Linked DNA regions of Alligator mississippiensis. The protein of the gene in region 1 interacts with the protein of each later gene in a biochemical or structural test. Links are inferred from orthologs where the notes say so. Each region holds a gene or a part of one and is shown in the gene's direction. Other genes may lie near its edges.

Region 1 (3,941 bases):
TGGCTCCACTCTGGGGCTTCCTCTGCATGTGGCGCCTGGGGCTGGCACTGGGGATGCGCTGTATGGGGTGCTCTGTTGGATTAGCTCTGCATGCTGGTTCTGGGGCTGGCCCGGATGTCTGTGCACACGCACACTGGAATGATTTAGGGCTAGTCTGGAACCTGCCCATTCAGCATGCATTGTCGAGGGTGTGCAAAGTGCGCTCTGAAATGGGGCCAGCGTGTGCTGCACGTGGCATGTGGGGATAGACCAGCTGCACACATTGCATGTAGTACAGGAGCCTGGCATGGTGCACGTGCTGCAAGCAGTGTCCTGCTGGCCAAGCTCTGGTGTGGCTCCATGATTATTTCTTATGGGTAATCAGACATCACAATATGAAGTGCTGAAAAGTATACGGCAAATATTAAAAAAGCAAGAAATAAATGTATAGTACTGTTACATTTTAAAATTGCCAAGTACTAGTAAGTAAGGACAAAACCCAAGTGTGGGCTAATGGTTTTGTTAATATAAAACTTGGTTAACTGACTTGCTGGGTAACTTACTGTGCATGAGTCTGACAGCAACTCAGGGTGTAGGATACTGTTTTTTCCTGAAATGCAGTTGGCTCCTGCTGCTTTCAGAGGTCTCCTTACTGTCGGTAGAAATGGCCCCAAATACCCAGAGTATCCTAGACCTGAGTTCCTATTCCCACAAGCCCCCTCCCCAGCCCTTCTTGAAGCCACTTCATGCTTTTGACCTATAACAATATCCAAGTTGTCCGGGGACGGCTGTTGCCTCCCCTCCATCGTATAATCCTCTCCGAGGCTCAGACGAGCCGCCGGATTGCTGTGAGACTAAGGGAAGAGCTTTGTGAGAGCTGCCGAGCAGGCGCTTTCCCGGGCAGCGCCGAGTTACAGGAGGCGAGGTGGAGGGAGGCTTAGGGAAAAAAGTTTTTACAGCGGCAGGGTCTGGTCCTCGCTGGGCCGGGCAGCCCGGAGCCAGCTGAAAGGCCCGGCTCGCAGAGGGAGATCTCCCGGAGATCAGCCGGGCTCGGCCTTGGCCTCCCAATGTCCGCTCTGTCTGCGCCGGCCTCAGCCGCTTCGCCGCCCAGCCCAGCTCCGCCCCTCGGGCCGATGGCCCCGCCCCCCGGCCGCGGCGGCGCTCGGGAGCGGGGACCGCGCAGGCCGCTGGGAGGTGGCGGGGCCTAGCTGGGCTCAGACGCGATCGCTATGCCGCTGTTGTTCCTGGAGCGTTTCCCCTGGCCCAGCCTGCGCACGTACGCGGGGCTCAGCGCCCTGGCGCTGCTCGGCTGCGTCCTCAGCGCCTACCGCGCCCTCAGCCAGGCCCCTGCCGCCTGGCCTGGGCCCGAGCCCCAGCCCCAACCTGAGCCACAGCCCAGCCCGAGCCGTGCCGGGCCGCTGCCGCTGGACGTCGCCTACTATCTGCTGTCAGACAGCCTTTGCGTCTGGGTGAGCACGGACACCGGCGGCTGCACAGGCCCCTGGGCCCGGGGGGCTTCTGTCTGGGCAAGAGGGGCGGAGGCTGGGGCCGGCCGCTTCAGCAGGGGGCGCAGGGCTGGGCTGGGCCTTTGCTGCTCGTGTGGGAGCCGGGAGCAGGGCTGCCCCGTTCCCACCAGCGCGGGCAGGTTTGCCTCAGGCCTGCACAGGCCCTGGGAGACCTCAGCCCTGCTGCCCTTGCAGGCCTGCGTGAAGGCTGCCCAGACTGGCCACAGGGTTGTTCCCTGCTTTCAGGGAGCCAGGGGGTGCCTCTGCCTGCAGGGACTTTGTGTGTTGTGAGGATTACTTTGCACCTGTGGCTGGTCTGAATTTATTGCGCGGTTCACCAATGGATTCATGGCATATGTAAGGCAGGGGGTCCCTGCCAAGCATTGCATCAATCATGCAATTCATTGGTTAAATTGCACAATCATTGCAGATTGATCTCACTTGTAAAGTAATTCTCACACCATACAAATGTTCCCCCACCTAGAAAGACCCCACCAGCTCCCAAGGGAGTGCTTGAAAATGTGTAACCCTACAGTTGGTTTCTGTCCAGTTTTCATAAGAAGGTGCGGCAAGGCCTTGAAGGCAGCTTGGTACCTACCTGTGGGGGGGTTCAGAGGAATGTTTGAGGCCTTTGCTTTTCAGAAATAGGTTCTTGTATAGGTATGGGCTGAGCATCTCCTAGGACATCCCCAAAACACGACTAGGGTGGAGCTGGGGATAAGCAATTTGTTCTAAATGAATGTTCAGATTGGGGTCTGTATCACAGGGTCACAGATGACCAGTCCTCAAACATTTCAAGTGATATTTGTAGTAAAGTAATACAAGTTCTTCTATGGGTGATCCAATGTACACAGTTTTTACTGTCTAGGAAACCGTTCTGGTGGAGGGAAGGAACAATGTTGGCAACTTGTGAAAGGCAGGGGTGACTCCTTTGTGGTCTCTGGGGTTGGTGGGGTGAGGCACTTTAATTAGAGTGGCTCTCGGGAGCTGCTCTAATAAAAATACTTCCAATGTCTCGTGTATTCAGTGTCCCGTGCTTCAACGTGGCAGCGAGGATGCTTTAACTAAAACACGTTTGACAAGCTTTAGTTAAAGCACTGCTGTTTTGAAATGCAGAGACCCTGAATACACATGACACTTAGGCTGCTGGGGTGTTCTAATTGGAGCACTCCAGCAGACTTGGTGTCACATATATGCAGCTTCCCTGTGTTTCAAAATGGCAATGGGGCACTTTAACTAAAGCTCAAGTGAGCAGAATCAATTTGATAATCAAGTCTGCTACAATGCATTCTAATTAGAGCATGTTGGAGCAGGCTTTGGGCATGTGTGTAGGTGCCCTCAGGGAAAGGAAAGTAAAAGGCAAGGGAAAGGATAAGGATCCTCTGACAGGGCAAGACTTACGTTGCATTAGTATAAATGAACCAGATTTAGAAAAAACAACCCCAAAATGGTCATTTTCCTTGAGTCCACTAAAATAGTAATATTTGAACTGGCTTCCGTATTTAATGTTCATTTGTACTAGAGACTCAAATGTAGTGTACCTTTGTAATTAGCTTGTTAAATTGTCTTCCTCTTAGGTGACATAATTTTAGAATGTCATTATTTAAAATAATAGGGATTCTGTGAACTCAAAACATAATGGTCATGGTGCCTGTAACACTTTGGGATTAGGCAGAAGGCTACTCAGAATATTAAACATGCTACTCTGTAGGAAGTATTTGTAAGTGAGTCCTGTGTTTGAAACCACATTGTAAAAGTTGTGAAAACAAGGTCTTACAAAATCTAACACCAATAGAAATGTTTACACAAATAGTGCAAGTGATCAATTATAACCCTTGTAGTATTTCTTTGTAAAAATGTCATGACATGCAATTCCTGTGTGTTTAATGTGCTGGGGTTTTGTTCTATAGTTGCCTAAATAATTTTTTTTTTAAAGTAAATCCTCTGTTGTGTTTCACATCAAAACATGCAATCTTATTACCTGCAAGTGGAAATAACAGTTATTGGGTGAAACTTACTTTATTTATTTTAATGATCTCATGAAATGCAAACTCAACAAAGAACGTGATACTTCAATTAGATTATTTTTTTTTCATGTTTGATAATGTAATATAAATATAATAATAGAATATAAAAACCCAGGGTATGTTTATTTACAATATATGATTTTTAAGTTCGTTATGGATAATTTTACCAAAGTACCCAAGGGGCTGAGCCTCCTGAGTCCGATTTTTGAAATGGGGCTTCATCTGTTTAAGAGTCCTTCAAAAATTTACAATGTCCCTTGAAAGTGCATTTTGCTGGAATATAATCTCTTGTCACATTTTTCCTCATGTATTTTGATGTGCATAATTCAAAAGGTTTTGCTCATCAAAAGTATGAGATAAGTTTAAACAATTCAGCATTTTCTGTTTTTGATGGCTTTAGTTTAAAATGACTGCCAAGAGCTGTAATCCA
Region 2 (3,600 bases), on another chromosome or scaffold:
CAATTCTCGGGGCCAGAAAATGCAAATTTAATCCCATTACTATGCACAAGGTGCACTTTTAAGTGAATTTATCTAACGATGCTAGTTCTGACATGTACGAGGTAAAATTTGGGATCGGAGACTATACTTCAATGAAGCCGCACACCTGCCTCCCTCCTTAAAAGAGGCTTTGGCAGTAGCATCGGTGGGATCAGAACAAGGGGTTCCCGTCTCAGATTTCGAAAATCTCGCATTATTTAAATGTAACGACCTAAGGATACACAGCCTGGATCAGGACGACCCCGGGAAGGCTGCAAGGAGTGGAGGAGACAGTACCAGAAGGCACTGCAAGCGCAACAGCTGCAGACGTGGGCGACGGCCCGCACTGCAACTTCCACAGTGCAATATAGGAAGCAATAGCAGCAGGGTTTGCTGAAAGCCTAACCACTATCAGAGGTTGGCAGAACTGCCCTTCCAGCCTAGTTTCTTCTCCCTTAATATTAACTGCTGACTCATCGCGCAGCCAAAATGGGGTCACACCTCCTCTCACAAAAGGAGAGGAGGAAAAAGAGAAAGCAGGTGGTTTCATGGAGGGAGCTGCAAGGTGCAGCAGCAGAGCCCCTCCCTGGCAGGGGGCAGGGCCCCACATGGGAGCCTCCAGCTGCCAGCCCGGCCCAACGCCTTCCCCTCTGGCCCCAACCTTGCTGCTCCCCTGGCGAAGCTTCACCAAGGGCACTGCCCAGGTGGGTGCCCGCGGCCCCACACCCCCAGCCCCGCACTCACCCCTCCCCCTCGAGGGGCCACGTGCCAGGCTGCAGCTGCCACCCTCCTGCTTCCCAGCATGCCCCGCGCTCCCCACCTCGTGCTCACGACTCCCAGAATGCACCTGGCCCGGGACCCTCTTAAAGGGCCAGCGCGCCCCATCCGGGCGGTACCTGCGCTGTCCCGGGCCAGGCCTGGGCGCGCTTGTGGGAACGGGCGGCGACGGCAGCTTCGCACCGCTCGGGGCCACGTGCCGTGCTAAGCCGAGGGAGGGGGGGGTCTCTTCCAACTTCCCCTCCTATCAAACGGGTGCCGCCACTGCCGCCGCTTTCCCCGCGGGCCCGGGCCTAGGGCTGACCTTCCCAAAATGGCGGCGGAGAGGGCCGACGGGCCCTCCCCAAGATGGCGGCGCGGCCGGGCCGGGAGCTTGTAGTGCGCGTGCGCGCCGGGGCCCGGAGTGCAGTGAAATTCCGGGCGGGCGGGGGGAGGCGGCGGCGGCGCGGGGGAGACTCGGCGCGACGGGCAGGAGCCCGGCAGGCACCCGCGGGCTGCGGCGGCCGGACGGGCGGAGTGGGGACAGAGCCGGGGGGGGGCGCTCGCGCGGGGCTCGCCGCCGCCGCCTCGCTCGGTCGTAGCAGCCGCCGCCGCCCGGACTCCGCACCGGGCGCAAGGGGGAGAATGACGGAGCTCCAGTCCGCGCTGCTACTGCGGAGGCAACTCGCAGGTAGCCGGGCCGAGGGGGGGGGCGCCGGACCAGGCCGGGGCGGGCGGGCGCGCGGCGGGTGGGGGAGGGGCGCGGAGGGAAGTAGGGCATGGGGGGAGGGGCAGCGCGGTGGGGGAGGGGCGGGCCGGGGTTCCCCCCCGCGGGGGGGCGGTGACTGGGCGGCCCGGGCCCCGCGGGGTCTTTGTTCGGGCCTCGATCGGCTGCTCCCCAGCGCCGGCCCCGTCCCCTCCCTTTGTCCGCGGCCGCCCGGACCTGGCTCGGCCCGTCCCGGCCGCGGGGCGAGCATGCGCGGCCGCACAAAGCCGCGGCTCCGCGTCGCTCCTGCCAGATCTGAGAGAGACCCCGGGGGGCTCCTTCCGCGGCCCTGCGGCCTCGCCCCGCCGCCCTCCGCCCCGAGCCGAGCGGGGGGCCTCGGGGCTGCGAAGGTGTCAGGCGAGGCTCGTCGCCTCCCCCTTCCTCGCAGCCCGGAGGAGGAGGGCCGGGCTCCGGCCCACGTGTGTCAGGAGCCTGCGTGGAGGGGCGGGCACGGTGGGGCCACCTCCAGGGCGCTGTAGCCAGGAAGGTGGCGCGACACAGTCCCCGGGGGGCTCGGCTGCTTTCCGCCTCTAAAATAACTCCGCTCCGGAGTTGTCTTTCACCGAAAAGCGGACCGAGTCACTGCAGCTGGTGGCTTTGGGAGTGAAACCTCTCTCTCCTCTCATAGGAAACGGCAGGTGTGTATGAGCCCCCGTCTTCGGCGGTGGCGACGTGTCGTGCCTGTTGCTTAGGAGGAGTTGGGTGCCGGCAGCGCCGGGGTGCGTGATTTAACGCGTCGCTGCCGCAGAAACTTACTCTGCCGATGCTATCATCAAGGTCCCTGCATGCTCAAGTGCTGTCAGTTATAACGGGTATAGATATGGCCCCGAATCCTGTGGCTGCTAAATGGGCCCTTTCTAAAGGAGCCATGTGAGTAAATAAGCTGCTCAGTACAGCTTTTGGGGTTATGGAGTTGAACTAGTTTAAACGCTCAGTCGGCCAAAGACGCAAATAGACCACTTTCACGGCTTTATCTCGTAGACGCGACGTTCGGTAATTGCAGCATAAACATATTAGGCTGGATAATTCCTCCACTTCTTGTTTCTATTTGCTGGCATTTCTCCATAGCAAAATGAACAAAGTACCCTGTGATCAAAACAAAACTTGGCTATGTGTCTTGTAACTATTCAGAGTTACGAGACCAAAGAGCGAGACGTATTGCTGTTGAAGACAGTGGTGTCTTCTGAGGTTTTGTCTTGTTTTAATTAGAAGAAATAAATCATGGTTGTTTGCTTGAAGGAGTGGTAACAACGCTTCTGTATCCCTGCCATATTCCTGTTTCAAATCCAGATGGGCAACTTTACACTAACTCTTTCATTCAAGGAGTTTGAGTAAACTTGGAGGGTGGGTATCTGAGTATAGAAGTTGAATTATTTATAGTGGCTTGTTAACCTGTTGATCATCGGATGGATGTATACTTCTGCTTTAGACTGTATTTCTAATACTAAGATTTCATGTGCTAGGAGTTATGTTAGTTGGGCAACTGTAAGAACATAACAGAGTTGCCAACACGGGTTACTGCTCCCTCAGCACTTGGGAGATGGCCTGCCTAATGTCCGTGCTACATGCACTCATTTGACATGGGCCAACCCGTATTGTCAATGTGTCCGACATAGTTGGCAATTCTGTATGTGGATTTCCAGTGCAAGATCCTATAGTGCTACAGGGGAAGGTGTCTTTGGAGTATTCAGAGTTCCTGCTTGAAGACTGTCTCGTGTTATAACATGGACAGACTTTCTAACTGAATGACTACTACAGATGTCAATGCTCATCTTACTCGTGGCAGGACACTTGAACTCAATGCTGAGACTGAGCTTCATGGTAGGTCAGGTCTTCCTCCTTCACTGCTGGTTGTCTTCCAAGTCTCATCTGGGCCAGTGTATTTCACCCACAATACTAGTTCTCTTTCAAAACAAAATAATTAATATTCCAGTGTTCCTGTATCTTGTGAGACATTGGATAACGGTAGATGTGCCTTTGGATAGCATAGGATGGAATTCGGCTAGTTTTTGACACGATCAAAGTTTTTATAATTGCTTTGGGTTATACACTTACCTATC

The links.
Region 2: the proteins of AMFR (region 1) and UBE2G1 form a complex in vitro, tested with the Homo sapiens proteins (7 studies listed by BioGRID, with this or other methods). The link is inferred for Alligator mississippiensis from reciprocal best matches to the Homo sapiens genes AMFR and UBE2G1.

What each region holds. Positions count from the first base shown.
Region 1 is NC_081833.1:41,619,039-41,622,979, forward strand, and holds the start of AMFR (E3 ubiquitin-protein ligase AMFR), read left to right. Parts: upstream 1-1,139; 5' UTR 1,140-1,208; coding exon 1,209-1,448; intron 1,449-3,941. UniProt on the Homo sapiens protein: E3 ubiquitin-protein ligase that mediates the polyubiquitination of lysine and cysteine residues on target proteins, such as CD3D, CYP3A4, CFTR, INSIG1, SOAT2/ACAT2 and APOB for proteasomal degradation.
Region 2 is NC_081837.1:14,258,784-14,262,383, forward strand, and holds the start of UBE2G1 (ubiquitin-conjugating enzyme E2 G1), read left to right. Parts: upstream 1-1,040; 5' UTR 1,041-1,143; coding exon 1,144-1,465; intron 1,466-1,717; exon of another isoform or gene 1,718-1,901; intron 1,902-3,600. UniProt on the Homo sapiens protein: Accepts ubiquitin from the E1 complex and catalyzes its covalent attachment to other proteins. In vitro catalyzes 'Lys-48'-, as well as 'Lys-63'-linked polyubiquitination. May be involved in degradation of muscle-specific proteins.